Linked DNA regions of Mytilus edulis. The protein of the gene in region 1 purifies or fractionates together with the protein of each later gene. This does not show direct contact. Links are inferred from orthologs where the notes say so. Each region holds a gene or a part of one and is shown on either strand. Other genes may lie near its edges.

What was found.
Region 2: the proteins of F-box only protein 42-like (region 1) and recombining binding protein suppressor of hairless-like purify together in Homo sapiens (affinity purification with mass spectrometry; 3 studies listed by BioGRID and IntAct, counting the BioPlex papers as one, with this or other methods). This does not show direct contact. The link is inferred for Mytilus edulis from reciprocal best matches to the Homo sapiens genes FBXO42 and RBPJ.

What each region holds. Positions count from the first base shown.
Region 1 is NC_092356.1:55,202,658-55,219,105, forward strand, and holds the start of F-box only protein 42-like, read right to left. Parts: upstream 9,405-16,448; 5' UTR 9,321-9,404; coding exon 9,170-9,320; intron 6,871-9,169; coding exon 6,631-6,870; intron 6,227-6,630; coding exon 6,123-6,226; intron 5,356-6,122; coding exon 5,189-5,355; intron 4,548-5,188; coding exon 4,451-4,547; intron 2,791-4,450; coding exon 2,734-2,790; intron 1,848-2,733; coding exon 1,731-1,847; intron 1,131-1,730; coding exon 258-1,130; 3' UTR 1-257. Other genes in the region: coiled-coil domain-containing protein 115-like, read left to right, coding at 13,092-13,715. UniProt on the Homo sapiens protein: Substrate-recognition component of some SCF (SKP1-CUL1-F-box protein)-type E3 ubiquitin ligase complex. Specifically recognizes p53/TP53, promoting its ubiquitination and degradation.
Region 2 is NC_092350.1:41,713,501-41,730,629, forward strand, and holds the start of recombining binding protein suppressor of hairless-like, read right to left. Parts: upstream 7,370-17,129; 5' UTR 6,908-7,369; coding exon 6,878-6,907; intron 3,617-6,877; coding exon 3,295-3,616; intron 1-3,294. Other genes in the region: ubiquitin carboxyl-terminal hydrolase MINDY-1-like, read left to right, coding at 8,487-8,607, 12,934-13,682, 14,271-14,377. UniProt on the Homo sapiens protein: Transcriptional regulator that plays a central role in Notch signaling, a signaling pathway involved in cell-cell communication that regulates a broad spectrum of cell-fate determinations.

The DNA.
Region 1 (16,448 bases):
AAGTTTGATTTTATTTGTTTTCATCATTTGAATAGCAAAATACAAATTGTGGTTTTTTTCTGTGCTAAATGCATGTTCATCCAAATTATAACATGAATAATGGATATCTATGAATGCCTGTATAAACATGATAAATTTTATATGTCATAAAAATTTTACTAAAATTTTAGCATCCTAAAAATAAAAATAAAAAAATGCACATTTCCTTAAGTTCATAATTATCTATTATGACAAAAAGCTAACAAACAACAATAAAATCAAATGGATGTTTTCAGCGGCGACAAGATGTAAAGAATATTACTGACTAGGTGAGATTTCAAGTCTACCCCTCTTTGCATTGACTGTATATCACGTTGAATACCACCAAACATAATAAGTTCACCACGACCCTCAGATAAAGAATAAAATATTGTTTCATCTGGAGCATCTATTGAAAAGCTTTCATCTATAGGTCGCCAAGTCACATGACCTTGTACAACCTCTGCAATGTCAAGTACATGTAAATGCATTTGTGAATGTGGATCTCTACGCCGTGAAGACGTTGCATTCTGAGCCTCATTATTTCTACTTGGTCCAGTTTGTTTTTGCTTTGTTTGCTGTGCCATGTTTTCACGCAATTTTTCTTCCATTTTTCTTAGAGCTTCCAGTTGTTTTTGTCTATTGCTATTAGCATTTGGACGTACTGATGGAGAACCTGTCCGAACACTTGAGGTTGATTCCATTGCACTTAACTGTAACTTTTTTTGTTGTTCAACATAATTTAAGACTGCACCTAATTTGGAATCTGGCTCAGACGGCTGTAACCTTGAACGACCTGGTTGGGAAGGTTGCCTAGATGAGTCATTTTCTACAACTGAAGGTCGTTTAAATTGAGGTACACTTTCCTCGTCACTTTCTGTGCTTGAACTGTTATACCTCTGGTCCCCGTAATGAGAAGGGCCTAGCATCCTGTGTGAGGGTCCAGCTTCTTCACCACCTCTATCTGACGGTGGTATTTCTCTTTCCACTGGTGGCACCCAAACTCTATTTTGTTGTATATTTTCCACTTGACGTAAGTTTGGACTAGGTTGTGATGCTGGTTTGGATACTGATTTCGTTGGTTTACTTAAAACTGTGATCATGTTACCAATCTAGAAAAAATATAAAGCTTGAAATGTAATACTTTTTAAATATTAATTTGCATAATAAATTGAGGCATGTTTATTATTTTGTGGATATATATACAAAGCAGTTAGCATGGTTAGTTTACATAATGATTTGCATAATTTCTGTGTCAGCAGAGCTCAGAAATTGATACCCTTGCTTGGCCCATTAGTATTATGTGAATGAGTTCCTGGTGCATGGCAAATATTAAAGGTAAAAAACCCCTAAAAGGCCTGACTCAATGTCTCAAGAGTATTAAAGGTACAAAACCACTAAAAGGTCTGACTCAATGTCTCAAGAGTATGCATATGAAATCAATTTGTTTGCCAACAGTCTATAACAAAGCTTTTTATGAATTGCTGTGAAATATGTGACTTGCTCATTATTGAAGGCTGTACAGTCACTATAGTTGTAAACATGTACATAATTTGAGGTCTGGTGGATAGTTGTCTCATTTGCAATCATACCACAACTTTTTATTTTATATACAGGAAGAGACAAACAACAGTAATACAACATGTGGCATAGTAATACCAGGTAGCTATAAATAAAACCTTCATATAGTATAAAAACATTTTTATATTTACCTTGCAAGCAGGATGACACCACAGTTGAGGAGCAGCACAGTCAGTGTTATTGACCTTGACCTCTGTCCATTCCCACGGATCCTTGTCCATGCTTAACAACCACATGTCATTAAATATCTGAAATAAGAATAGATAGAAATACAAAGATGTCTACAATTTTCTCACATCTTCTTTTATTCATATTCATAAAATTTCATTCAATTCTTCTATTTCTTAAACAGGACATTTGTATATGTGTTTACCATATTTTCTTATGAAAGAAAGTTGGTTTTTTATTTCAATCTGAGTTTGGAATGAGGAAAACTTGTTAAAGGTGTTTAGAAGTCCAATGATTTTTCTTAAATTGTATTAGGATGACACATGACAAATTCAATGTATGTATACTAAAACATATCTTTGGAATTCTATTAGTGCCCCTTTCTGATTCACATCACCCTTAGAGTATGTACAAATGATGTAGTTCCACAGTAATCATGTAGCCTTGTTTTGATAGCTTATCAAATACAAGTCAATACTCAGGTAAGTACAGAAGTGAAAATAACTATACTACAAACATTATATATACTTTTACAAACTTGATCATTTTATGAAATTTGCTTTTCTTTTTATGGCCCTTTTGGTTATATATCTCCCAGTATTTATATTTTTTTTATACATCCCAAGCTTTCAAAATTTAGGAGTAAAACTTTCTGGTGAAGTCATTTTAATTTCAGTTTCTTGTGTACAATTTGGAAATTAGTATGGCGTTCATTATCACTGAACTAGTATATATTTGTTTAGGGGCCAGCTGAAGGACGCCTCCGGGTGCGGGAATTTTTCGCTACATTGAAGACCTGTTGGTTACCTTCTGCTGTTGTTTTTTTTCTATGGTCGGGTTGTTGTCTCTTTGGCACATTCCCCATTTCCATTCTCAATTTTATTAAATCCAGAAAAGTGCATCTGTTTCACAAACAAGAAATTCCATTTTCAATTACAGCAATTTAAATTCAGTACCATATTTTACCTGATTAGGACCTCCACAACCACCTATCACTAGTATATGCTGGTCATCTACTGTAACCTAAAATCAAACCAATCATTACAGAATCAATTTCTAAAATAGAACAAAAACTTAGATCCTACAGAGCATGAATTTGATTGACTACATTAAAATGATATTCATTCTGATCATTGAGTTATACTATCTCCTATCCTGATTCAACCAAAACTTATAAAATAAATAACTATAGAACTGCTGAATGTTAACATATAACACATTTGATAATTCACACACAGGGATAAACCTATTTGGGATAGTTGTACCTTTTAGGGTATTTGTTAACAACCAATATTGCAATAAACTGAATAATTATTAAAAAAAAAAAAATAACACATAACCACTGAACAGCACTAAGACAATTACAAACTAGGGCATTAATTGTCTCTTTACAATTACAAACTAGGGCATTAATTGTCTCTTTACAATTACAAACTAGGGCATTAATTGTCTCTTTACAATTACAAACTAGGACATTAATTGTCTCTTTACAATTACAAACTAGGGCATTAATTGTCTCTTTACAATTACAAACTAGGGCATTAATTGTCTCTTTACAATTACAAACTAGGGCATTAATTGTCTCTTTACAATTACAAACTAGGGCATTAATTGTCTCTTTACAATTATAAACTATAATTGTCTCTTTACAATTACAAACTAGGGCATTAATTGTCTCTTTACAATTATAAACTAGGGCATTAATTGTCTCTTTACAATTATAAACAAGGGCATTAATTGTCTCTTTACAATTACAAACTAGGGCATTAATTGTCTCTTTACAATTACAAACTAGGGCATTAATTGTCTCTTTACAATTACAAACTAGGGCATTAATTGTTTCTTTACAATTACAAACTAGGGCATTAATTGTCTCTTTACAATTACAAACTAGGGCATTAATTGTTTCTTTACAATTACAAACTAGGGCATTAATTGTCTCTTTACAATTACAAACTAGGGCATTAATTGTCTCTTTACAATTACAAACTAGGGCATAAATTGTCTCTTTACAATTACAAACTAGGCCATTAATTGTCTCTTTACAATTACAAACTAGGGCATAAATTGTCTCTTTACAATTACAAACTAGGCCATTAATTGTCTCTTTACAATTACAAACTAGGGCATAAATTGTCTCTTTACAATTGTTTAACATATGTCTTTTCGAGGCCTCTTATGTCTTGCTTTGTATATAGGTTAAGCTCATTGTTGACAGACCTATAATTGCTAACTTTAACATTATTTGGTCTCTTGTGGGAAGTTGTCTCATAGACAATCATACCAAATCTTCTAAATTGTATATAGAATATGTCCAATGCACACAATCCTCCTCTCTGGATCAAAACATTCATTTTGCTTATACTTTTGAAAGTTTACATCACAACAAATTTGTTTGTGCATATATGTACTTAGTTTCAAGTTTTCACAACCATGACTGTCACTTAAATAGTAAAGGATATTTTAAACCAATCAACATTAATCATCATCCATGAGGTGTGTATGTGAAGCAAAATTCTATCCAGATGAAATATCATCCAGCTTTTAAATGTTACAGATGATGTTATCATGGTTATAAATTTTTTGCCAGAGGAACATATATCACTGACACTGAGATATTTTCCATTCTTTATTTTTTAAAGTTTTTATCTGATGCAGATGACAGTGAGTAAACTGTACATACCTGTGTCTGACCAAATCTGGGACTTGGTCTCTTATTTTCTGTTACTATTTTCTTCCATGTTAAATCTATAAAATCAAATCGCCACAAGTCATTTGTTCTGAAATAAACAGTTAATATGATTAAAACTTACAGGAAATTGTCTCTAAGGCTTTGTTGGTTTTTTTTGGCAACTGGATAAAAATCTTTAAGATCAAGGTTGTGTAACAGGAGTCATTAAGGAGTGCACAGCACATTCTGTTTTTTTTTATTACATGTAGAGCCAGAAATAGTAAGATGAAAGAATTTCTAAAAAAAAATATTATAAGATCATCTTCTCATTATTTTTCTTCTAAATTCTGTCATTTACTTGTGTTTATATTGACATAATAATATGTGTTCCCAATATAATCTTTACAACATGTACAACCAGAACCATAGTTGCTTTTAACATGGAGGATAAGGGATTAACTGATGACGATACAAGGAACACTGGACCTTCAAACAGAAGCATAATAGCTAATATATATAGTGTCCTTTTCAATTTAAGTTTAATGGCCTGTTATAGATTACACAAGGAACACATGATATTCTCCAAACAGGAGGATATAGTGTCTTTCACAATAGAGCACATGTTGCCTGCTGAATCAAGAATTACTTACCCGATACCAGGAACACTGGACCCTCCTAACAGAAGCATAGTGTCTTTAACAATAGAAGCTGAATGGCCTGCTTTAGAAGATGGGATTGAGATAAACTTACCCTATTCCAGGCACACTAGAGCCTCCAAACAGAAGCATAGTATCTTTGACAATAGAAGCTGAATGGCCTGCTGTAGGTGGTGGATGTTCTCTAGAAATACTGGTCACTAGGTACCATCTGTTGACCTCTGGTTTGTACATATGTAATTCATAGAAAAATCCTGCAGCCTGGAAAAGGTGAAACATCAAACATGTCAAAATCTAAATCTTTTTTTACTTTTCATTTAATGACAAAAAATTGGTATTTGATTTAATACAAATAAACCAACACTGAAGCCTGAATTTACACATTTACTGTCATAAATTAAAATATTTACTATTGAAAATCAGCTTTCAAACCAGATACTATGGATTCAATTATTTTCACCGTTGTCAATTTTCGTGGATCAAGGAAAACTTGCACGTTTGTGGATACTTAATTTTGTGGTTTTGCTGAAGTCTACATACATGCCAATCATTCCAATAGGAAAATTGTCATTCATCTAATTTCGTGGTTCACCTATACCCACAAAAATTAGTATCCAACGAATAATAATGAATCCATAGTACATCGGTTTTCCTCATTGTTGAAGGCCTGACTGAGACATATATACATTTTAGTTGTTAATTTCTGTGTCAAATGGTATCTTGTCATGCTTTGTGGAGAGTTGTGTCATTACCTCAGTCTAAACATATACATCAAGCACATGCAAATTTTATTTTTGAACCAAAATAAAAAAAAAATCTGAACATGCTATAAGACAAATATTCATACTACAAGTCAAGACTGGCCGACCATTAATACATTCCATAAAGAAAGAATTACCAACAATAGATTATTTTCATATGAATAGTTTTAAGTTTGCACAGCAATCTGTAGCTTTATAAATAGCTTACACACAACAAAGTATGCTTTTTTGTATTTCCTGATTTTTTTCGAATTCGTTATAACCCACCTGGTGTAAGGGATAAGGAGTAGGATGACTCCATCCACCAAATAATACCAAGCTGTCCTTATATACCACCATACTGGAACAGGCTTTAGGTGATGGATAGGTTCCTGCAACAAAAACATTTGTTATATGATTAACAAATGATTAAAGATGTTCTCTTTACTCCTTGGCTAAAAATGTAGGAAATCTTCAATGATAAATGTTATATTTATAGTTGGAAAAATAAAGTCAATAGTGTAGGCCCCTTTTTATTAATCCTTGCAGTTCAACATTATATTAATAATTACTGTTAGTTGCTCATTTGTAGTTCAATCATAATTTTTTCATTTAAACTTATTTTCAATATCAAATAAAACAACATTAACAAAAAAACCATACTTTGACTTTATAGCATTGAGAAAATCAAACATACTATTCTAATTTCCCCATAATCAATGTAACCATGTGACACTGCTACACGACCCCATAGGCCAAAACAGCTTGTAAAATCCAAACTTCTACATAAAATTACCCATTGCTAATGGCCTAATCCATTCTCTCCTTGCCAGGTCAAACCTCCAGAGGTCATTAAAGGTCGTGTTCATTGATGTACATCCACCAAATACATACAATGACTTGTCATAATAACAAGCACAATGGGAGTATCTTTCTGTTACCCGTATGATATCGATCTCTGGTGCAATTTTTGTCCATTTCACTTTACTCTCATATACACAGTTTTGAAAGGTCTGTCTTAGTTGTCTTGTCACACCTTTGATATAAAAAGATTATTGTTGACAACATGGTTAGTAAAATTGAAAATGGAAATGGGGAAACCCTATAATTGCTTACATCTAATTCATTTGAACTTTGGTGGATAACTGTCTCATTGGCAATCATACCACATCTCCTTTATTTCAATATTGACATGATTGATAAATCATCATTTTTGTTATTTTAATCTATTTAATAATTTATGGCAATACCTGGCACATCAAAACACTGATTATACAGTTAAATAGAATGTGATCTACATTGTACATGTTGTAACTCAAAAAAACTTTCTTAAGGATTGTCATGATTGTTTACATATTCATCATTGGTTGGGTATTAAAATAACAACAAAGATTCCAATGAATTCAAAATCAATATGAAGAAACATTATATTGTCGCCCTTCGCTTTATTTTATTATCTTCTATACACCTTATCCCTATTTCAGACCTGTCAACCAAACTTGATAATAAATTCAAAAGTATTACAAAATTCTTCATGTGAAAAATTATTAGGTGTTAAAATCGACAACACACTTAACTGGAAAAATCAAATTGACCAAGTTTGTGCTAATAAGCCTACTATATCATCCAGAACATACCTTCTTTCTAAAATAAAGAATTTTTTAGATATAAATGCAAGGAAAACATATTACAATGGGTATATTCTTCCCTTAATTGACTACTGCTGTATTATTTGGGGTGAATGTAAAAATGAACGGATAACAAGAATTTTAAAACTCCAAAAAAGGGCAGCAAGATTAATTCTAGATGCAGATTTACCCCCCTCAGCCCCCTTATTTAGAAAACTTGGGTGGATGACAGCTGACAATAGAAAAAAATACCACAAATATTTACTTCTATATAAATGTATGCGTATGGAAGCACCAATGTACCTAGTTCAAAAGTTTAAACTGAAATCAGATAATAATCCTTACTCCTTAAGCATGTTAAGAGGTGTACATGTCACTCAAGGTAATCGGATAGTTCCTAAGCCAAAAGCTGAACTATTTAAGAAATCCTTTGCTTATTCTGGATCAGTTTTATGGAATGGACTACCACACACAATGCGTAAAGCTCAAAACACTTTTACTTTTAAGCAAAGTATCAAGAAGTACCTAACACAACCCTGATAAGAAATGTTTGCTACAATGTATTTGTATATTTTTTAATTTTTCATTTTCAAAATTTGATTTTTTGACTACATGTATACATCTTAAACAGCATTATATCTTATGTTAATAACAATACATTGAACTACAAGAGTGTAAATTAACTATGTGTAAATATCTGTTTTGATTGTATTGTAATTTGTACATGTATGTGAGGGCCTCAGGGAAGATTAGTTTATTGTAACTAACTGAGTTTACCCTCTTTAAATAAAGAATTTCTTATTATTATTATTATTATTATTATTTGGAGATCTGCACCTCTTGATCCGAGCATCTGCTATGCTTAAACAATTGAAGTCATACAACAATCACTTTTCCATTGTAGGGTCAGAAATTTTATGATCTTTGACAGTTTTACATCTGAGGATGACCTTTGCAGCTCTAGGGGTATGTTGTTCATTATCCATTTGATATTTTGTTAGTCTAAAAAGTTGTCTGTGATTTTTTTTCTTCTCATACATGTATAATCATGATAATTCTCAATATTAGAATAAGATTGATTGATTGCTTATAATCCATTGGCAAATTATTTCATGCACATCTAGGACTAGTCCAAATAATTATGACGTCTTGAAAGGCTATAATAATTTTTTTCTTTGACGCGTCGAAGTAAGGCGTCAAAGAAAAAAATTAGAATAGCCTTTCAAGATGTCATAATTATTTGGACTAGTCTAGGACATGCACAAATTAACAATAAATAATATAGGAAGGTTGTTTAACACCTTATCACTGTTTGCCTGCCATTACTGGACTGTTGTGGACATCACTGAAATTTATGCTGAATTTCTCTTAAAATTCAGACGTCATAATACAAAATATCTGACAGATTTTCAAATAGTGATAAGGTATATAGAGATTAGAAGCTGTCTGGATGAAGGTTCAGGGCTATTGCATCTCTGGATCTATTCATTATAATACCAATGTAAATATAAGTCTGAAAAATAACAGTTTCAGAAATATAAAAAGGCTTTCATTAAGTATGAGGAAAATCGCAATCGAAGTCAGGTTTTATAAATTAAGGAAATAATCTTTTAGTTTTATCAAGGATTTGTATAGTAAGAAGGATTGGAATCTCGTGGGCTTTTGCATAGACTATACCAATCCTTGGTTTTATTCATGTTATTTTACCTGCAGCTAACCGGTACCAACGACGACAGACAAGCATGCATGACTTGACATCACGATATGGTGAAACCTTGGATAAAATAAACTCTAATATTTCTTCAGGCAGATCATCAATATTCACATTAGATGAACAAGTGTCGAAATCCATTTCCATTTCCAAACATATGTAAGGAATTTGGCTAGCTGTACGAATGCCAAACCTTGTAACATAAGATGCATGAAAAGTAACGAAAAGCTCCGAATGAAAAAAAAAAGAAATTTCGGACTTAACAAAACCCTGACAAAAGAAGAACCGACTGTAAAAGTGCGATTTGTTATTTGAATATTGAGGGTCAACTATTGATGGGAGATACTCGAGATACATTAAAAAAATATATTTCATAACAAATGATTCAGTTTAGTCAAACTTCAAGACATGATTTAGAAGAATAAACATAAAACAAAACAAAAATATATTTATCACCGGAAATATGATATTTAATTTGTTCCCGCGTGATTTTCCTTCGATACTTCTCGCGAGTTTACCCAAAATGACTTAAATCCTATTTCGACCTGTGCAAAAATTATCTTGATGTATTGTAGGTGTAAGTCTTATAACTGTATCACCCATTGCTTTGATTAATGATTAATCCAATTCTTATTCCAAAATAAAAATACAGTTGGTAGGGTAGATTGTCATGATAAAAATACCTAAAGGCATGTGTAGGATTTAATAATGTCCTCCATGAAAAAATGGCCACAGACCACAATTAATTCCTCTATCAGTTCTTTATAACCTTTTGCATCATTAAAAAAATTGCACCATGCACTTTTGTCCAATTTTTTGTGTGTGTAATGTATTGTCCTAGTCCAAATATATATCCAAAATTCAGAAAGATTGAAGCAATCACTTTTACAAATTTAGCCAATACACATCCATACCCCTATTGACAAGTCAAGAGAAGTTCCGAAAACTGTAAATATCACCTTTTTGCACTTGACCTAATCACTCATTCCATATAAAAATCAGTTAAAATACAACCTCCAAAAATTTATTTGACCTCTCTTCTTTCATTTCCACCCAAAAAGATTTAAGGAATGAGTGAGGAAAGGAAAGAAAAAAAATTAAGGAAAAATACACTCTAATTAAAAGGAACTATATTCGTGGACAACGAAAAGCGGGGTCATTAATTGTGGTCTTGGGCCAAATGTCCACTGGACACATTTTGACAATATTTACTTATTTAAATGTGTCCTGGACACAATTTCCTATGAAAACATGTCCTTAGGTATGAAAAAGTGTCCATGCACATGGACATTATTCACTACCATAATATTGTCCAGGTGGACATTTTTTTCACAGGACATTGTGTCCGCCAGGGCACTTTTTGATATGATTAAAGTATTAAATGATTCCATTGCCTTGTTATTACTGGACGCATTTTAACTTTAATTATGAACTTGAATTAATTGTTACTTTGACATAAAAATTGTCTCATTGGCACTCATACCATCCTTATCTTCATATCTATTTTTTTTAATATAATTATATACATGTTAGATGCTGTTCTATTTTATTTTCCTTTGAAGACACAATTAAATAACATTCACTACGAAAATTTGTTCAGCAGATGGACCATATTTCATAACTGTTGCTGTAAAATGCTGTCCACTTAAATGACAATATTTTATGGCAATGGACATTATTTATTATGCCCCACCTACGATAGTAGAGGGGCATTATGTTTTCTGGTCTGTGCGTCCGTTCCTTCGTCCGTCTGTCCGTCCGTCCGTCTGTCCCACTTCAGGTTAAAGTTTTTGGTCGAGGTAGTTTTTGATAAAGTTGAAGTCCAATCAACTTCAAACTTGGTACACATGTTCCCTATGATATGATCTTTCTAATTTTAATGCCAAATTAGAGATTTTACCCCAATTTCACGGTCCACTGAACATAGAAAATGATAGTGCGAGTGGGGCATTCGTGTACTGAGGACACATTCTTGTTTTCTATTGCCTTCTTATCTGACATAATAAATATTACAAAGTTCTTCATATTTGATTTTACACTTCCTTCTTATTGTTATTCTTTCATTGTCATAACCATTTGTTGGGAATTTCTTAGAACTTAAATTTCTCTATATTCACTTCCATCCATTATTTATTTGTTTACAATAGACACTAGACACTAGACAATAGACAATATTTTATTCGCACAAACACATTTACATTAAATGGTTATGGCATACAAAATTAAGACAATAAACTGACAATAGTTAAATTGTATATTGATCAATATACAAATTACATTTGTATATTGATCAATTTCTCACCAATCCTTCATATTTTAATTAAAATTTAAGTATAATAAAACTTTGTAATGACCTTTGTATTACTTCCCTTAGAGGACACAATTTAATAGCAACTACTATGAAAATTTGTCCTGTGAGTGGACACTATTTCATGTTGTTAGCAGTAAAAATTGTCCTTTTGAGGGACACCATTCCATGGCAATGGACATTATTAAATACCAAATTTCAATGAAAAAGTGTCCATGTGGACACTTTTTCATAGGACACAATTATGTCTTACATATGCTCTGAAAGGAAGTAAGAAAAACCAGTTGTAAATAATTTTAATTGTATATTCACAGGCACTTGTTTCTGTCAATGTGGGGTTTACTATCCATACCAGTACAAAGATTTTTTGTACTGGTATGGATAGTAAACCCCACATTGACAGAAACAAGTGCCTGTGTGTATATTTTTGCGAACGTTGTAAATGTAATTTGTAAATAGCCAAGAGAAAACTTTCTGTATTGCCCGACACTGTGTAAAGTTTTCGTGCAGAACCATTAACATTCAGCTTTGAATCTGATTCCTTACCTGGAAGAAGAAAAATGACAGACAATGAACCATCATTTTAGTTATTAATTTGAAATTGCTCTTCTTCAGCTAACAGTACTAGTTTGTAAAGAGACAATGATCAACAGGATAATAAATTTTTCATGAAACAAAGGCTTGAGATTTGACCAAAATTGTTAAGAAGGAAGGAAAATGCCGCAATAAGCATGAACATGTGCAAGTCTCACGTTAATCATGTTAATTGGGGGTGGGTCTTTTCAAAGTCAAACACCACTGCACACTGTTGAACACCAACCACTACATTGTACTAAAAACACTGATATTATACAATAAAATCATAAAATCATGATTAATCGCAATCACCAATAAGCAGATGTGCTATTATGCCTATATATATATATATACAGATTGAATTAAAAAAGCTTGACACGCGTCGGTGAATGAATTAAAAAAGCTTGACACGCATCAGTGATAAACAGATTAATCAACTAAACAAAGTCAACATCAAAAACTCTTTAGAAAAATAAATAGTCTATGTAACTTTCTACATGTAAACATAAAATTACCAAATTAAGGAAAAACAATAATTAACAGTAACAAAATGTGCTATATAAAGATGAATTAATATAGCTTGACACATGCAGTGATAAATAGATTAAACAGATCAATCAGAATAAACAAGTTCTAATCCTAATGTACTTTATAATATTAGTCTTCAAAAATTAAGAAGAATTCTGCAAATACACTATCATGACTATACATGTAGATATTTTTAGATTAAAACATAAAATTAAGGAGAATAAGAGTAGGTTGACCCTACATGTATTTCTACTCTCAAACAGGTCAAACAACATAACGTGGAACTGCTGGATGTTTCCAAGAAATCAATGTCTTGTAATGTTCAATTCTAAACAAGAATATGCTGAGAAAAATCCATTGAGTGTTAGAAAAATACACAATATATTACATGTATGGTCATGATGGTCTGCATTCTTAATATTATCATATTTATCAAAGTGTCTGAAGTTTTAGGTGTATACCATACCTTAAATCTATTTTATTTTATTTTGACAGGATAAAAGAATATGAGTGAAAAGAAACCGTCAACTATGGATGCTGTAAACAAAAGATTAGATGAAGTTTTGGTAGAGTTTTTCGAATGCGTTGGAGAACTTTACCAAGAACAAGCAGATCTAGAAAATATAATGAAAAGTGGATTCTTGATGATGTCAAGGGCTAGATACAATATGGGGGCCAAGTCTGTTGGTGTTTCACAGTACGATGAAAATAATATGAAAGCTTCCAAACTGGTTTTGGTTACAGATAAAGATGATGATGACTGTGTCGACAAAATGTTTGAATTAGTAAACACAAACAGTTGTCTGGATAAGAGTTTAATAGATCCAGTTTCTGAAGGTTTGAGACAGCGTAAAAGTGGAGGAAAAGACAATGTGGAAACTATTGGGTCAGAAAATGTAGAACAATCAACTCAGAACAATTCAAACATGTCAAATAATACTAAAAATTACAAAGACCCAATTAAATGGTTTGGTGTTTTAGTACCACAAAGTTTACGTCAAAGCCAGGCTTATTTTAAACAAGCAACAGACAGTGTAATAAAAGTGTCAAATCTAAAATCCAAAGTGATACATCTCAAAGAACAATACAAAACTCTAAAGAAAGAAAAACAAGTAGTAACAACACAATGAAGTTGTGAAATAGACAAGATTATACTGTACCTGATTATTAGAATTTGGACAAAATAGAGAAACATTCTAATGAATAAAAGCTGGGAAAATATATCAAAATTATTTTATAGTTAATAGATTCTGAAAATTGGAATTTAGAGAAATTGATGAATAAAAGCTGGGAAAATATATATCAATATAGTTTAGTTCCTAAATATTAGAATTTGGACCAAACAAAAGAAATAACTTGATGAATTAAAACTGGGAATATATATATTTAAATACATGATATAGTTTAGAGAAAAGGGAGTAGTCTATGGATTAGATTTATGTATTCTAGAATTTGAATTTTTTACTCATCATTTGCTCATTATATTAATATTATTAACATGGCATGTTTCAGTATCCTATATTCATGCTATGTGTAAGGCATGTAATATATTTCTAATTAAGTCACATGCAAGAACTTTACATTCCAGGTGGTCTGTTAAATGTGACAATTTAATAAATATATTATTAGTGTTGATTATAGTAATTTAAATAAAGGTGCAATTTTATTTTTATAATTGATAGACATGTATACCATGTATACAATAATGACAATTGTTGATGATCAAAATAATTGAAATTAAATGTTTTTTATACTTTGTGTTTTAATTTAAATCCTATTAAATTGACCCACATGTAGTCTTGATCAAAGGTACTGTAAATTCAGAAATTATTGCCAGGTTAACCCTTTTTGTCAATATAAATAATGCAACTGGGTGGGAATCACAATAATATGAATTTGCATTCTCATACATATATCTGTATGCAGGTTTTTATGAAATTGCAAACATTGATCTCTCATTTTTGTTCATTCTTAACATTGCAATAATGAATGCTTCCAATAATTTCTGAAATTACAGTGTATCATTTTACACATGGTAGCCAAGTTGAAAATTTTCGTCACATTTTTCTCAGCAACTATTGGGATTTCTGAAACTTGGTTTCAGGGTTTTTATTAATCAGCTATAACGTGTGGTGTGTTTTCAGATTCATCACTCACAAACTTTATGTTTAACGAACACTTGTATAATTTTACACATGATAGCTGAAAATTTTCGTCGTATCTTTCTCAGGAACTACAATACAAGGATTTCTGAAATTTTGTTTCAGGGTTTATATAAGTCAACTATATCATGTTATGTGTTTTCAGATTCATCCCTCAACAACTTCCTGTTTACCTAAATAATTAAGCGGGGGTATCATCAGTGAGCAGTAGCTCACACTTTCACTTGTTTCAGGTGGAGGACATGACTCGAAAGTGGTCTTTTCCCCAGTAGTTGTAATTAAGAGAAATTGGTTGGAAATTTGTCATCTATAATCAAAGATTGCATCTGGTGGCTATGCTTTTTACCTGATTGTAATGAATTTTATATAGGACCTTCAATATTTTATAAATTTCCACTTGAGTTAAAATTGGATGCATGTTTAAAGAGATGATTAATACACAAAGAGACAGTTACTCACATGGCTTAATACATGTACATAAATAATGGGATAGATTTTTCACATGCTAGTCCTGAATCAATTGGTAAAATTCACTGATACAGCAAACAACCTGACAAGAAGAACTCCTGGGCCAAATTTAACCAAACTTGGCCACAATCATTATTGGGGTATTTAGTTTAAAAATTGTGTGGCGTTACCCGTCCAACCAACCAAGATGGCTGCCATGGCTAAAAATAGAACATGGAGGGGAAATGTAGATTTTGGCTTATATCTTTGACACCAAAGCATTTAGAGCAAATCTGACTGGGTAAAATTGTTTATCAGGTCAAGATCTATCTGCCCTGAAATTTTCAGACAAATCAGACAACCTGTTGTTGGGTTGCTGACCCCGAATTAGTAATTTTAAGGAAATTTTGCAGATATTGGTTATTACCTTGAATATTATTATAGAGATAAACTGTTCAGCAAAATAAGATCTACAAATAAGTCAACATGACCAAAATTTTCAATTGACCCCTTAAGGAATTATTGCCTCTTATAGTCAATTGTTAACAACTTTTTCGTCATGTTTTTAGGAAATATTTTCCACTGTAATTACTGGGCCAAGTTCATTATAGAGAGAAATATTTGTAGCAACAAGAATGTTCAGTAAAGAAAGATCTACAAACACATCACCATCACAAAAACACCATTTTGTCATGAATTTATCTGTGTCCATTGATAATATGCACATAGACCAAGGTGAGCGACACAGGCTCTTGAGAGCCTCTAGTTGGTTATTATCATGAAGATTATTATAGATAGAGATAAACTTTAAACAGCAAAAATGTTCAGCAAAGTAAGATTTACAATTAAGTACATGACTGAAATGGTCAGTTGACCCCTTTAGGAGTTATTGCCCTTTATAGTCAATTTTTAACCATTTTTAGCTCACCTGGCCGAAAGGCCAAGTGAGCTTTTCTCATCACTTGGCGTCTGTCGTCCGTCGTCGTCGTCGTCCTGCTTTAACTTTTACAAAAATCTTCTCCTCTGAAACTACTGGGCCAAATTTAACCAAACTTGGCCACAATCATCATTGGGGTATCTAGTTTAAAAAAATGTGTCCAGTGACCCGGCCAACCAACCAAGATGGCCACCATGGCTAAAAATAGAACATAGGGGTAAAATGTTGTTTTTGGCTTATAACTCAAAAACCAAAGCATTTAGAGCAAATCTGACATGGGGTAATATTGTTCATCAGGTCAAGATCTATCTGCCCTG
Region 2 (17,129 bases), on another chromosome or scaffold:
GCCATTTTATGAAGGGAACATGACATATAGATAACAAGAGTGCACACGCTGAAATGTCTCGCTTTCTATACTAATCATTGATATTATGTTGATAGTCCTAAGTATAAAGCTAAGCTTAATTACAACTGTCACATAAACTTAACATTAACCAAGATAACTAAACAAAGACCAATGAACCGTGAAAATGAGGTCAAGGTCAGATGAACCATGCCAGACAGACATGTACAGCTAACAATGCTTCTATACAACATATATAGTTGACCTATTGCTTATAGTTTAAGAAAAATAGACCAAAACACAAAAACTTAACACTGTGCAATGAACCGTGAAAATGAGGTCACGATCAAATAAACCTGCGCAACTGACATAAAGATCATAAAATATTTCCATACATCAAATATAGTTGACCTATGGCATATAGTATTAGATAAAAGACCAAAACTCAAAAACTTAACTTTGACCAATGAGGTCAAGGTCAGATGACACCTGAAAGTTGGACATGTACACCTTACAGTCCTTCCATACACCGAATATACTAGCCCTATTGCTTATAGTATCTGAGATATGGACTTGACCACCAAAACTTAACCTTGTTCACTGATCCATGAAATGAGGTCAAGGTCAAGTGAAAACTGTCTGACAAACATGAGGACCTTGCAAGGTACGCACATATCAAATATTGTTATCCTATTACTTATAATAAGAGAGAATTCAACATTACAAAAGCTCTGAACCTTTTTTTCAAGTGGTCACTGAACCATGAAAATAGTTGATTCAAAACGCCATTTAAGGAGATGATTGATAAAAATAGCATTGCTGGCAATGGGGCCAACATTTACTACTTTCTGGAACTAACAGAGCCACCATTTTGAATTCTGATTTTTTTGGGTATACATAATTGTCTCACAAAATAAACATAGTCACATTTTTAGCCTAAAAATCTTCTTTTTGTAAACATTTTATTGAAACCATTTTGAAGCATTTGAAAGTTATAAGTACATCTAGGGATCATATTTGATATTGTGAGTATACGTATGACATCACTTTTTATCTCACTTAGTAACATCCACATTCAAGATCTCAATTTTGATAAGGGTAGTCAGTCTTCCTGTAAAAGGTCAGTGGTTCATTTTCTCAAGATACTCCCAATTTCTCCACAAAAATAAAACAGAGTTCCAATGTCCACCGCATATTGCACTTATTTAATATTTCCGAAGGGGCATAACTCTTTAAAAAGTTGATCGTCCACCATTTAAGAACTTGTCCAAGATGTTGCTGATATTAACCTACAGTATAAGTTTTATAAAAATCTTACAAGAATTGTACTCATGAGAGTTAACTTGGCCACTTTCAATAAATTTAATATTTCCATGGGGCATAACTCTTAAAAAATGTAATCGTCCACCATTTTAAAACATGACTGCAGAGATAGTATACAGTGGCTTTTGCAGTTAAGCTAAACATCCAATACATTCTTCCTCACGTAAAAATTACTTCATAAATTCTGCTACAACTATCATTTATGAACAGTTTAAATAACAGAAAATTAAGCAGAAACAACTGACAAAACTAACATACATGTACATTGTAGCCATCCAATTTACATGATGTTCAAGAAACTATTTAAACCTATGAAACAAATTATCAAAGAGAAACTTGATATCTTGTCGGATATTGTCAACTGATTTGGCCTAAATCATGCTTATAATGATCCTATTCTACAAAGAACCTTCAACTATTTGTTAAATTAATCAATTTCTGCTTGTTAATTTAATTGTGTAAAATAAGGCAGTGCTTGTTTGATTTCCAATCGCTATCAATACTTCTGTTTACATCCCTTATAGATTAATGGTCATTTAACCCACAGAAATATATTTAGGCCAAATATAAAAGATGTGTTTCCTATTACTCCACCTCCTCTATTTTTTAAGCATAGAAATAGCCTACCCTAAATAAAATTTCATTTTTTCAATAAGCACTGTTAAAGTCAGAATTTCTCTTCCATATATAGACTGCAATAAAACAAAATTAAAAAAAAACTCTACCTACCTACATTGTTTGTAACTACTCAATTTTTTTTTTAAAGATGTAATCATGGTAATAGAAAACACACATATTATTTTGTTTGGCCTTATCAGGACATCAACAAATCATAATGAAACAGTTTTATAAAAGATTAAGGCAATCTATAGAAACTATTAGACATTTGTTCTTTAAAAGAACTGGTACTACAAAATGAATGGATTTGCATGGTTACAAGCAACTAATGTATACATTAGTACATGTACATAAGTTTAAATGAAAAAGTCTAATCATTGGATATACAGATTAAAATATGCATCAAGCAGTGTGATCTTTCAAAGCATTTTATTGGGATGATAAAAATCAATTACAGTGCATCAATGAACTGGATCATTTCAGGGAGTTACTATTTAATCCATTAATATTTTGTGCCTTATTTAAGTTCTCATGAAGATTTGAAACATTCCATCTAAATTACATAATGTACACTTAATACTCTGTCGTGACTATCATGTCACTTGTACTATTAACACTTGCATTACATTTTTAACTAAAACTTAGAAGCAACAGAAATTTACTTGTGTTTGAATCTCATAAACCCTTCAATAAGATAAGAAAAAAAAAAGAAAAAAAAATTAATGGAAGCATATGATCTCCAAAAAGTAATAAGATGCATTGACAAGGTTGGTTTCTCTTGGCCTTGCAATGAATATGCAGCACTAGCAATGTAAATCCACAATTAGAAGACTATTTTAAATATTTTAAATTTATTCTGCATATTTGAGACTGTGAAAAATGTCAACTATTCACAAAAGAAATATTAAATATCCAATTACAAATGTACCATGAACTGACCAATTATGTTTTATTCTTTACAAAAATAATAATAGGTTACATTTTTCAGTTATCTCCCTTGGCTTATAACTGTTTAGCTAGAACATAGATTCTTGAATATTGTGGAAACTTTATGCAACTTGTGTAAATGCTTGTTTGAAGAGAATAAAAAGTGTATGAATCAAAAGCAAGACAATTGTGGTGGTAGGGATTAAAAAGCATTTTTTTCAATCTTCACACCAAAAATCATTTCAGTTTTTTGAAATGAGGCATTTCATGGATAAACTTTCCTGAACTAGATTATATAAGGTCCACCAACGGTGCAAGGGCTGTATAGCCAGTCAACGTCACTAAAAACTTCCATTTGATGATATAAGGTCCTGTTTTTATGATTTATAACAAAATGTACAATGGATAACAATAAGGAGTTTAACTGACCTTGTTCCCTATGACTGCCCATAATGGGTGTCCTTTCTCGTTGATATCCTCCATTTTGCACAGATTCACTCTTAATATAACCATTCACATTGATCAATTTACTAGACAAGTCTACGGGATTTTCATACCCGCCTTGAGCCATATGACCATTTAGGTTTCTACGTGTCGAACAGACGTTTTCTTGTCCCTGATACAAATTTTCATCATTTTGTAACATGTATCTTGCATCAGTAAAATGTCCACTGTGTCCATTTTGGGCCTGAGGTGTGCAGTGTTCATAATGTGGGTCTGCCAATGCTTCTATTGTGTATCCATAGCCTGCCTAACAGATATAACATTAAACATGATTAAACAATGTGTATAATCTACCCAAGGGCCAAGGCTCATGCAAGCTTGCGACTTAAGGGCTACAACCTTCATACATTTTGTAATACTAGATACATGTTCATGTACAAATTAAAGAACCTTAGTGAGGACGCTCACATACCCCACGTCCCCACATTGTCATTGGAGAAATTAAATAAGTATAAGAAAAAAAAATTGTATAAGAAAAAATACTGAATAATAATTTCCTGTCAATATACACATCTCCATAGTATGTCCTTATTATCTACAAAATTTCATGAAATTCTGTTGTGTGTTTTCAGAGGAGTTGAGATGACAAACTGTTGCAGAAGTACATTGAAGCAAATAAGTTCAAAGGGGCATAACTCCTAGAAAAAAATTGAATTGTAATTTCCTGTTGATATGCACATCTACGTAGTATGTCCTTATTATCTACAAAGTTTCATGAAATTCTGTTCTGTGGTTTCAGAAGAGTTGAGATGACAAACTGTTGAAGTACAACATGTAGTACATAATGTATCTTAAAGCAAATAAGTTCAAAGAGGCGTACATGTAACTCCTAGAAAAAAATTGAATCGTGATTTCCTGTCGATATGCACATCTACATAGTATGTCCTTATTATCTGAAAAGGTTTCATGAAATTCTGTTATGTAGTTTCAGAGGAGTTGCGATGACAAACTGTTGCAGTAGTACATTGAAGCAAATAAGTTCAAAGGGGCATAACTCCTAGAAAAAAATTGAATTGTAATTTCCTGTTGATATGCACATCTACGTAGTATGTCCTTATTATCTACAAAGTTTCATGAAATTCTGTTCTGTGGTTTCAGAAGAGTTGAGATGACAAACTGTTGAAGTACAACATGTAGTACATAATGTATCTTAAAGCAAATAAGTTCAAAGAGGCGTACATGTAACTCCTAGAAAAAAATTGAATCGTGATTTCCTGTCGATATGCACATCTACATAGTATGTCCTTATTATCTGAAAAGGTTTCATGAAATTCTGTTATGTAGTTTCAGAGGAGTTGCGATGACAAACTGTTGCAGTAGTACATTGAAGCAAATAAGTTCAAAGGGGCGTAACTCCTAAAAATAAAATTGAATCGTAATTTTCTGTCGATATGCACATCTACGTAGTATGTCCTTATTATCTACAAAGTTTCATGAAATTCTGTTCTGTGGTTTCAGAAGAGTTGAGATGACAAACTGTTGAAGTACAACATGTAGTATCTTAAAGCAAATAAGTTCAAAGAGGCGTACATGTAACTCCTAGAAAAAAATTGAATCGTGATTTCCGGTCGATATGCACATCTACATAGTATGTCCTTATTATCTGAAAAGGTTTCATGAAATTCTGTTATGTAGTTTCAGAGGAGTTGCGATGACAAACTGTTGCAGTAGTACATTGAAGCAAATAAGTTCAAAGGGGCGTAACTCCTAAAAATAAAATTGAATCGTAATTTCCTGTCGATATGCACAACTACATAATATGTCCTTTTCATATAAAAAGATTTTGTGAAATTCGGTTGTGTGGTTTGAGAGGAGTTGTGATGACAAGAAACAGGACTGACGGACGAAAGGGTCAAAAACATTATACCCTCCGCAATTGTAATTAACATACTTTTTTATTTAAACAGTCTTATTTTTAGTTTAAGTCAGGAGAATCCTTGATATTAATAAGTTGAAATTAACTTTGACTACATGTAATTAGCTTTCATCAACTATACATGTATGTAAGTACTCTTTCATACGTGTACTTTGCATCTTTTGTCTTTTTGATAGAACATGTACTTCTTACATCTGAGGAATCAAGCCATTTCCAATTGATTTTTTAATTTACAGTTGGTTCTGTTGTGTTGTTGTACATCTTTCTAATTTGATCTCTTCTGTCTCATTGGCAATTGAATTTAGTAGTGTCAGCCCTTTGATTATGACCCGTGTATATAGCAAAATCCTAAATACACCGTTTGGTGGTGCGCCTGTCAAATGCGGAACGTACAGATAAGGTAATATCTAACAGGTGAATATATACTATTGGTATCGGTATCGGATTAGACCCGGAACTTGTTAATTATTGGCAATATTTATAATTATGTGGAAAACAAAAGGGTCTGGAGTGGTGTAATTTTTAATCTACACCATTGTCCTATATTAGTTATATATAGAGTTGAATTCTTTGATTTGTCGTTTTTACCCGATGACGGCTGACAAATTGGACCTCGTAATTTTAGTATTATAGATATCAATGTTCTATGACAAGAAGTTCCTATCAAACTAACTTAATATTGAAAATTGATTATTAATTCAAAAGTTGCTAAACCATGACCATGATAACCTACGGTACAGGGTCTTGAAGTAGTCATCAATATACTGATAGTAAATTTTAAGCAACTTTATAAATATAATGATGTCGACATGTGATAATAGTTCCTATCAAATTTACTCGAGTACAAAACTCTGAAAAAATTGTTGAAAAAGATGACAATTTTCTTCATTTTCTTCGAAAAATCTATCCATACATGTATGTTTGGCTTTCTGCAACTTTAGTTGTAGCAAGACAATAATAGGGTACAAGCGGAATGAGTTGCAAATGTGTGAGTTGTACACAATCTAAAGGAGTGAATAAACCTTAAAACCATTTTTTTCACTCATTTCAGCAAAAGATCACCAGTGCATTATTTTTTTGGTGACCTCAAACTAAAATAACACTAGCTAAAGATGTGAACAGTTTGCATATTTTATAATAACAGTGTGCATTTTTTATTAAGTTTCTTCTTACATAAAACTTACAAGAACATTCTTACATTTTAATTCATCAGAATTATACATGCAAGTTTTTAATATTTTATAAATTTGTAAGCTCCTGTGAAAACTGCATGACTTGGCAAACAAATTTTATTTGTCCAACTATTCTATTGAAAATAAAATTGCCTTTGTATTTAAACTTTAAAATTCAGCCTTTAATTTAAGTAAACAATCTTTTAAATTGTTGATGATTAATCATGTAAATATCAACCACTTGTTACAAAGTATACAAAACCGTGGGAAAAATTCCCACGAGTGTAAACTCATTAGCGGTGTCTGTGAGGTCAACTTCTAAAGGTCAAAACAACTCTGGTGATCATTTCCAATATAAAGAAAACTTTTGATGAAATGATAAAATATTGCACAATATATCAAATCGTATTATTTCTCTTCGTCAGACAAATAAAATTGAACATAATGATTGTAGACTCACCTGGGAAACATATAACTGTTGATTATTCATCTTGAAAATATCGGAAAATGTTCAAAAAGAAATCAATCAGTCAGGTGTTAACTGCATTATAATTCTGAGCACTTGTCCAAATTTGATATATAACACGAGTCAACATAACAAGCTCATCTATAATACGTATCCTTTCATTTGCAATGAGTTACCACTGCTTTTTGTTTTACTCCTAAAAAGAGCCAGATTCAAGTTGTAAATAACCTAGAAGACCCGTGGGAAAACACATTTGCATCTTTGATCGTGAGAACAATGATCAAGGGCTGTTACAATCCACTCCCCCTTATCCACTTTTAGAAAAGGGACCATATGGAGATTAAAATAGTTTTTGGTTACGTTCTATACGTGATAAACTTTTGCAATAAATATTTCATTATCAATTATTCATTATATAAATAAAATATTCCATCAAATCAAATTAAAATAGCAAATTCCGGCATGATAAGCCTTCTGTAAGAAAGTAGGTGCATTAAATTAAACAGCCAATTACAGAGAACGTCGCGTGCCGATTGGCTGTTGACTTTACGATTCTAGCAGGTGTTCCCACGGCATCATTCAATCTAGGACAGTCACAAATTTGCAAACTTCACTGGTGCACCATCGAATGCAGCGTGATAGATGCCACAAACAACGCTATTTGCAGTATAGTGCAGTGTGCGATTAAGCTGATACTGACTGGATAGTTTTCCACTTGAACAAATTACAGTTGAATATTTTGACCTGTTGACCCACTTTCAGAAGTTCCCAAGTGAGCCAACATCCAGGCTTACCAGAATCCATCTAGTATCCAACATTAAAGATCCAAAAATTTGATGACCAGCTTTCATATGGAAGAAATTCTGAACCCAACCACCTTTTCAAGCGTAGTTAAATCTTTAAAATTGTACATACTTATATTGACATTTAATTTAATAGATTTATACATTACCGGTGTTTTTAAACTTTATTATTATTTTTTTCAAGAAAATAATTAAATGCTTTCAAGCTTTAAAACTACTCACCGACAGTTACTGATGCTGTCCTGGATCAAGAGGTCAAAACTTCAGGAAAGTTCATTCAACTTTAACAATACCAAAAAAAATCTAGGTTGATGCTTTTATAGCATATCAATATTCCAAAGTATATTCAATCCATCAGTGTCCTGCATTAATTTAGATGTTATATAAGTTAAAGCAACGGAATAATAAGATGAAATGCAAGTGGGACCCAAGTTTCAGAACTTTGCAAGATGGCGCATATTTGTTGTCAATGGGCATGCCCTATTTTGTACCTCTTATTCTTCTGAGTTGTTTGAAAGTACTCAGTGGGCCAATAAGTATACAATTTAAGACCTTTAAACCAAGAGAACGGAACGACTGTGAACATTTTCTTGGGAAAAAACGCCCAAACACATGTCACTACAAATTTATTATATTCTATGAGCAAATTTATCCCTCATTGAACCCCTGGGAAAATTTGTAGTATTAGAGTCGAGGTTAAGTGTGGCGAGAAAAATGGCGAGAGTTGTTTACAGTTGAAGCAAAAAGCAACACAAAAAAAGAACATTGTGTAATAACCTGCTTGCACTAATTTTGCTATCATGTCTGCAAACGACAATATTATCGCCGATTTAAATGTCAATACCAGCAATTCAAATAAAACCGATTCTGGTGAAATCAATGCTGTAATTACTCGAATTGATGACGCATCGTCAAACCCTGGTAAGTCATGCCACGATTTAGCATAACTTTTGGCTTTATCACTGAAATAGAACATCATTTTTTATACAGAAAACAGACACAAAACTTTTGTTATTGTCTTTTAAAAAAAAGCCAAATGTTGCAAAAAATAAAGTGAAACCACACATATGGACTTTTTGCCAATTTTTGTCAAAATTTAGATCTTCATGCACTTTTTAAAAATTGCATGCCAAAAAGTATATGTTAGTAAAACACTTGTCATTTTTAGTTTTGTAACCAACATGAATACCCTGTCATGTTGTGGTTACCATCTAAAATTAAAATGACGAGTTTTCTATTTTTGTTTAAAACAACATATGTATGTAAGTGATACAAAGCTCCTTAATCTTAACTTATGATATCGTGAAGTCATATGTTTTCATTACTAATCAGTTCTAGATAGCAATGTGCATAGTTAAAATAAAAGTAGGTTCGCGAAATCGCACCTGCATGACGGTATTTTAAGGACAGATTGAGAATAAAAACTTGCTTCAAGCAATCATTAATTTCAACATTTCAAGATTTATGACATTTATAACAGTAAAGATAATATTTTCCGATTTTAGCCTACTTTACGTTATCCCCAAAACAACCCCAACTTCATCCCCTCGGTTCATAAATAGCATAGTTTCAAATGTAAACAAAACTTAGCTCGAAAAGAAGGATAAGTCCACATACGTAATACACAATTGTAAGAATTGGGGCCTAAATTAAAATATTGTTTGTTTGCCCTTTTCCGACCCTATGTTTTGAAACAGGGTAGGTAGGTAGGTAAAATATTTTATTTTTTTCCCCAAAAAAATTACTTGACTCTGTATATTTTTTTACATGGGTAGGCAGGTAGGTATAATATTTTATTTTATAGATACAAAATCTGCATAATGTCATTTTTTGTCTGTTTTGCATTTGCTTATAAGTTTGTGGGACAACGTTTTGAAAAAAAAAATATCATGTAGAATGTGAAGTTAATTCATATGGCTTTTTTTTTGCACTACTATTTTGTTTTCAAATATCAAAATAAAGAGCTGTGTCGCATATTTTCAACGTTCATTTATGCCTGTAACTTTGAAGAGATTTAAATTGCACTAATATTCTGTACTACATACCTTGTGTGCTTACCTCTACCTAAAGGTTTTCTGTAAGAGATTACTTTGTCCAGGTTAAATATGTCCGGGCAGACATACATTACTATAAGAAAAAGTCCCTAGAGTGTTTAAATTTCCGTGTGTGCCCATGTTTCCAATAAAAATGCTACAAAACTTGAACTCAATTGTCACGTATTTTACATCGCATTTATAAATGATTTGTATGGAAAACTTTGGTGATTTTACTGCCAAATATTCTCCACTTTACAGGCTTTTGTCACCTTTGGTTCATGTCAGATATAAATAATATGGCAATGCTGGTCGAAGGCATCGTTAACCATGATAATCATCCTAATCTACGGATCACAAAAGGCCATCCCTACATAAAATACAACGTCCGTTTACACAAAATAGTTTGTACAGACGTTAATAATTTTTTATTAAACAAACTTTTTTGTAAATGAACCCTGCTCTTCAAGTAAAAAGATGCAGAGTTAACGTACGTCATATCATTATTTCAAAGCGTTTAACATCGATTTCAAACAAATGCTTTGAAACTCTATGCATGCTATATGCAAGTGTGCATGTCAAACCCTCACGTGATACCAAACGGACTTGACCTTATACGATAAAGATGAAACCCGAGGATTCCGGTAAAAAAGTTTTGAGCGGGAAATACAAATATAAGATTTTTGGTAGGACGAAAAAATAAAATAAAATCTTGCTGGTAAATGCAAATTAAAGATTTTCAGGCGGAACGAATTTATAGGGTTGGTCGGTAAAGGGCAAACAAACAATATTTTAATTTAAGGTAGCACAATACAAAGATTTTTCATCCCCAATCATACATCTTTAAACTGATGTAATTCCACTCATCTTTCTTTGAATTTTATAAATGAGGTACCAAAAGAAAGAAGAAGGATTAATCTTTCAAATTGTGATAATTTCATTATGACATAATTATTACATCATTAATTGTTATGTAATTAGTTGCCATATTGTGATGTCTATACTTGAATGAATTTAGCTTCTTTGTTTTTCATAGCATCCCAAAATATTTTATAGATTCTTGCACAACACAGTTTGACCTCCAAAACTGTGTCTCAGATTTTTCCTATTGTATTTCATTCTCTCATAAATCTTCAATGAAGTTTGCAACATGAAATCATAAGAGACCACTAAATTCAATTGGGTATAAAATTTGTTCTATTGATGTTTTTGGAAATCTGAGACACAGTTTTGGAGGTCAAGCTGTGTTGTACAAGAATCTATAAAATATTTTGGGATGCTATGAAGAACAAAGAAGCTAAATTCATTCAAGTGTGGACATCACAATATAGCAACTAATTACATAATAATTAATTATGTAATAATTATGTCATAATGAAATTATCACAATTTGAAAGATTAATCTTTCTTCCTTCTTTTGGTACCTCATTTATAAAATATAAAGACGGATAAAATGAATTACATCAGTTTAAAGTTGTCTGATTAGGAGTGACAAAATCTTTGTATTGTGCTACCTTAAGCCTGGTGTGACGTCGCTATGGAAAAAATTCTATGGAACGCAGTTTGTGCCATATCTTATCAACTATAAAATTAATTCAATTAGATTATCGGAAAAGTAATGCCCTTAAATATTGTTTATGAAATTGTTACTGTGACAAAAAATATTTATAACAGCTGTGACAACATCTAATGATAAATAAGGATTGGTTCAATAATTTAAAATCATCTAAAATTAATATTCAATGCATTTTTTTGACCTTTAGTGATGATTCCTTGGATATCAGTTAAAGATGCCTTAATTGATCGATAAGGCTAAAAGTTCATAAAAAAATATGTTTTCTAGAGACAAATGATAGTGAATTGATACTTTTCTTCAATTTGCGTAATTTGAAATCTTCTATTCATATCAAAGTGAAACATGCTCACCATACTATACTTTTCACAACTATCGAGAACTGATCAATGACGTATTGTTCTGACACAATGTCAAAATTGAGCACAACAACAAATGTTTTGATTTTTTCTTGAATTACACTAGAGAAAATTGTGAGGATAATAGGAAATGAATAAAAGTATCTACTAAATTAACACAATCAGCTTTAACAACATTTTTTGAAGAACTGGCCCTATGGAGCAAAAATGTGTTACACTATCGAGAACTGATAACACTAGGATACCACTTATGATACCACTATACTTTTTTAAAATTATAGACCAATTTAAAGTTGATTTTTTTATGCCCCACTTAGGGGCATTATGTTTTTTGATGTGTGCATCTTTCCTTTCGTCAGTCTGGACCACTTTAGGTTCTTGGTTAAAGTTTTTGGTCAAGGTAGTTTTTGATACAGTTGAAGTCCAATCAACTTGAAACTTAGTACACATGTTTCCCTATGATACATGTATGATCGTTCTTAATTTAATGCCAAATTAGAGTTTTGATCCCCTTTTCACAGTCCACTGAACGTAGAAAATGAAAGTGCGCTTCAGGTTCCCTATGACATGATCTTTCTTATATAATGCTAAATTGCCAAATTAATTAGAGTCTTGACCTCAATCATGTGTCAATTACTAATTTATGTTTATTTCATGGAAAGGAATATTCTACAAAACTAAAACCAGAACGAAATATGATTCTGAAACTATTTTATCTTAAATTATTTATATTAAATTATTTTGAGATTGTATATCTAATTGGTCATAGCTAGCCAATTGCAAGATCTCAAAAGATTGACAATGGACGTGTGAACCGGTGAACCCAAAATTAATATAAATGCAATGCACATTTTGTAGGAAAATATAGACAGATATAAATTATTAGCAGGGGTAAAAGTTTTCCCTTGCTTGATTTCATATCATAAATAAAAATTAAATTATTGGTTACATCATTGTTAAACTGTATAAGAATGATTATTTTTTGCAGGCCCACACAAATAATGAAATTAGTTCCCTATTTTCAATTTTCAGGTAATACAGTTTTCAATAACAGAATAACTAGACTTGTTGACCACATGTCCAAAACAACCAATCAAAATACAGAGTACAAATACAAATTAGGGTTAGTTATTGTCTTGCAAGTTAATAATATGTCAGCAATTTTTTTAAGCCATATTTCATTTTGACAAACTAAACGAAGGTGACTGCTGAGTGTGAACTGTTATCTTATATTTCTATCTTGTAACTGTTTGAAACTTGAAAAAACATATTTACTTTTCAGGATCTGATGATGTAGAAGAAATGTGTTTAGGGGATACCACAACAATGGATCAAAGTCAACCAGATGTTTATACTCCTCCAGGAGAAGATAAGTCAGTTTCAAACAGTGACAGTGTAACAGGAGAATCTATGGAAACAGATAAATGGGCGTTGCCATCTACCAAAAGAAATGAAAAGTCTAATGATATTGATAAAGAAACAAACAATAGCAGCAAACAGAATGAAGTGTCTGGAAATGAGGAATTAAAAGTGGAATTACCTCCCTTGAAAAAAGACACCTCTGAGATGTCAGACTCTAAAAATGACTCGCAGATGTCAGATACTAAATATTCAGATTTGTCAAAATTTCAAAGTTCAGAATCAGAAATTTCAAATTCAGAGACAATGTCTGTGAAGTTACCTCCCTTAGAAGGGGACAGAACAGAATCAGAGAAAAATAATGGTGCTACATTACAGGACTCATTAAAACCAGAAACTACAGATTGTGAAAATGAGCGTTCTCAATCTCCAATGGATGACAAATCTAGTTGTGGATCTTTAGAGGGTGTTTATCAAATTAAATGGGCAAAGTTCAAAGGAAAAGAAGTACCTATTATAACACAGAATGAAAATGGACCTTGCCCATTGTTGGCAATCATGAATGTTTTATTATTAAAAGGAAAAATCAAATTTAGTTCTGATACTGAAATAATTTCCTCCGAACAAATGATGGCACATCTAGGTGAATGTATATTTGCCAATAAACCACAGGTAAAATATTAACTGCCAGTCTAAAGAAAGAATCAGGCAATTTTGAAAAAAAATCAAAACATTCCAAAAAAACCAACTAGCAACATAAAATCAACATGTTAATTGACAAAAAATTATTGAATAGGTTAGAATTGGTTAAATTCATTGAGAATAAGAGAAAACGTTATATCATAGCAGGCATATTTATTTGGCAAGTTGATGTTAGAGAGAGAATAACCAATCTAATCTAATCAAGAACCCATAAAGGGCATCATTTAACAACAATATTATGCACAATATTATTGGAAAAAGCAAAACAGAAACCTAATACCATACTATAACTTTATGGGCAGGATCAGAGCCTAACACAACATGTGTCTTACATAACTATTACATGAAATCTCATAATATAATAATAAGATATTATTTCATATATTTTGTTTACATCTGGATCTTATTTCTAAACCTTTAATTATGTAATTTCCTGGCACATGAGAGTTGGTAAATGCTCATTCGTGAAATTATTCTGCCTCATGACTTGAACATTTACATTTGATGTCATTTAGAATTTTTGAAAATTTTTATTTATCATTTTGGTTTATATTTCAGAATGCTACAGAGGTTGTGCAATTAAATTATGAACAGAACATGCAGGATGCCATGGCTGTTATTCATAAACTACAAACAGGGCTTGACGTTAATGTTAGATTTAACAGGTAGGTATGAAATACAAACAGGTCTTGATATTAGTATTAAACTTAATGGGTACCAGTAAGTATGAAATACATGTACAAACTGGTCCCAATGTTAATATTAGATCTAATGGGTACCAGTAAGTATTTCATACAAACTGGTCTGGATGTTAATACAATGTATTAGATTTAATGGGTACCAGTAAGTATGAAATACATATACAAACTGGTACGGATGATAATATTAGATCTAATGGGTACCAGTAAGTATGAAAAGCAAACTGGTATGGATGTTAATGTTAGATCTAAAGGGTACCAGTAAGTCACATAAGTTTGAAATACAAACTGGCCCGAGACCACAATTAATTCCTCTATCAGTTCTTTATAATTTGTCTCATTGAAAAAAATCTACCTGTGTCTTTTGTCAGATCTTTTGTGAGTGTAATGTACTGTACAAGTCCAAAAATATATCCAAGTTTCAGAAAAATTGCTGGTATAGATTTTGCAAATTTAGCCAATACACATCCATACCCCTATGGACAAGTCGAGAGATGTTCCGAAAACTGTAAATATTACTTTTTTGCACCTGGCTTAATCACTCTTTCCATATTAAAATCAGTTAAAATAAAGCATCCAAAAGTTTATTTCAGCTCTCTTCTTTCATTTCCATCCCAAAAAAATTAAGAAATATATGAGAAAGGGAAAGAAAAAAAAATAAAGAAAAAATACACTGTAATTAAAGGGAACTATATTCGTGAACAACGAAAAGCAGGGTCATTAATTGTGGTCTTGGGCCTATTTGGGGCCAAATACTTGACCAATACCAATAAAACTTAGCATGATTTAAGCTTAGTGTATTATGAGTCAGTTTACAAAGTTTCAAAGCCATATGATATATATTAAAGAAAATGTGGCATTTTTTATATCTCAACTTTGGTTGCTGAGTTGTGATGTTGAAATAGAACAATTTCAACTTTCAAATTTTGGCTTCAAAAATGCCACAAAAACAATAAATTGCACTTTTTAATGTCTCAATGTATAAGATATTATTTATTGAAAGAAATATTTAGCATACTAAATGCATCAGAAAATGGACCAACAGTTGATTTTATATGACCCTGTGCCAAAAAATAGAGGTTTTCAAATGAAGCGAGACTTTATAATATAATATATGAAATGTAATATTTTATTTTTACTTACAAGAATTTTCTGAAATTGTTTAGTTAAATCAAAACCTTCTACATATCATAAATGTTCTTTTTATGTAAATATAAGTTACAAATACAATGTAGCATAACACATGAGAATGACATGGTCTTAAGCAATGTCAAGCTTAAAAAAACAAGTTGTCAATTTAGGCCGTTCCCTATATTTTCATATTAAATTGCATATAAATGAAATGGGAGATGGAAATAGGCTTCTTTTTGCTCAAATCCTTGCTGAGATATGATCAAATATGAAGCCTGGATGTAACAAGACTGCTGCTTTTAACTATATATGTAGATAGTATGGTCTGATGTAAAGTTTATTCACTTTACTGTTTAAAACCAGCATGAAATTTCGGCCTCAAAAGGACAATATTTTAACCATCAGTCATCCAACAGAAGAAAATAAAGGTTGTCTGTGAAACAGACAAGGTTCAACAACCAGTAATAAGGGCTTTTGATATAGATTCAGTGCAATCAGTTTAAGGAATACAATTTTTTTAAGTGCATAGAGCTTCACATTTCACTTGCTTCATACGGACCGTTAGACTTAGACCATTAAAACAGCACTTTGCACTCTTTTTATGTTTATGTATATCTACTTTTTCTTTGTGTTCAGAGTTCACAAATGAGAAAACAACTGAAATTAATATCACAAACACTAATAGATATCAGAAAACACCTGTCAAAGAAAAAGTAATGATGCCGCTTTTGCAAAAATATTGAAAAAAGTGAAAAAGCTACATTTTGGGCAGATAAGCTGAAAAGTGACTTTTTTTTTACAAATTTCCATTTCTTCTCATGTAGTTTGACAAATTAATACCAATAGATCATTCAGAGAAGCTGTCAAAGTAAAAATTCTAAATTTGCTGAAATGCACCTCTTAGGCCCGAGACCACAATTAATTCTTCTATCAGTTCTTTATAACGTTTTGTCCCATTAAAAAAAATCTACCTGTGTCTTTTGTCAAATCTTTTGTGAATGTAATGTACTGTACAAGTCCAAAAATATATCCAAGTTTCAGAAAAGTTGCTGGTATAGATTTTACAAATTTAGTCAATACACATCCATACCCCTATGGACAAGTCAAGAGATGTCCGAAAACTGTAAATATTACCTTTTTGCACCTGGCCTAATCACTCTTTCCATATCAAAATCGGTTAAAATAAAACATCCAAAAGTTTATTTCAGCTCTCTTCTTTCATTTCCACCCCAAAAAAAATAAGAAATATATGAGAAAGGGAAAGAAAAAAAATAAAGAAAAAATACACTGTATTTAAAGGGAACTATTTTCATGAACAATGAAAAGCGGGATCATTAATTGTGGTCTTGGGCCAACTGGTGTCAAAATTTTTCACACCTCTGATTACAACAAGATTACTAATATTATCCCATTCCTCTGTTGGTCAGTTGTTTGTTACTATTGTTACATTACACAGCTTTTTAAAAAGCTGATATTTGATCCAAAAAGGGATTTAAAAAATAAAGATTAGAGAATAGTGAGTTGATAAATGACCAGAAAAAAAGTTAAAAAGAATACAGAAATGAAGGAACTCAATACAGACCCTCTT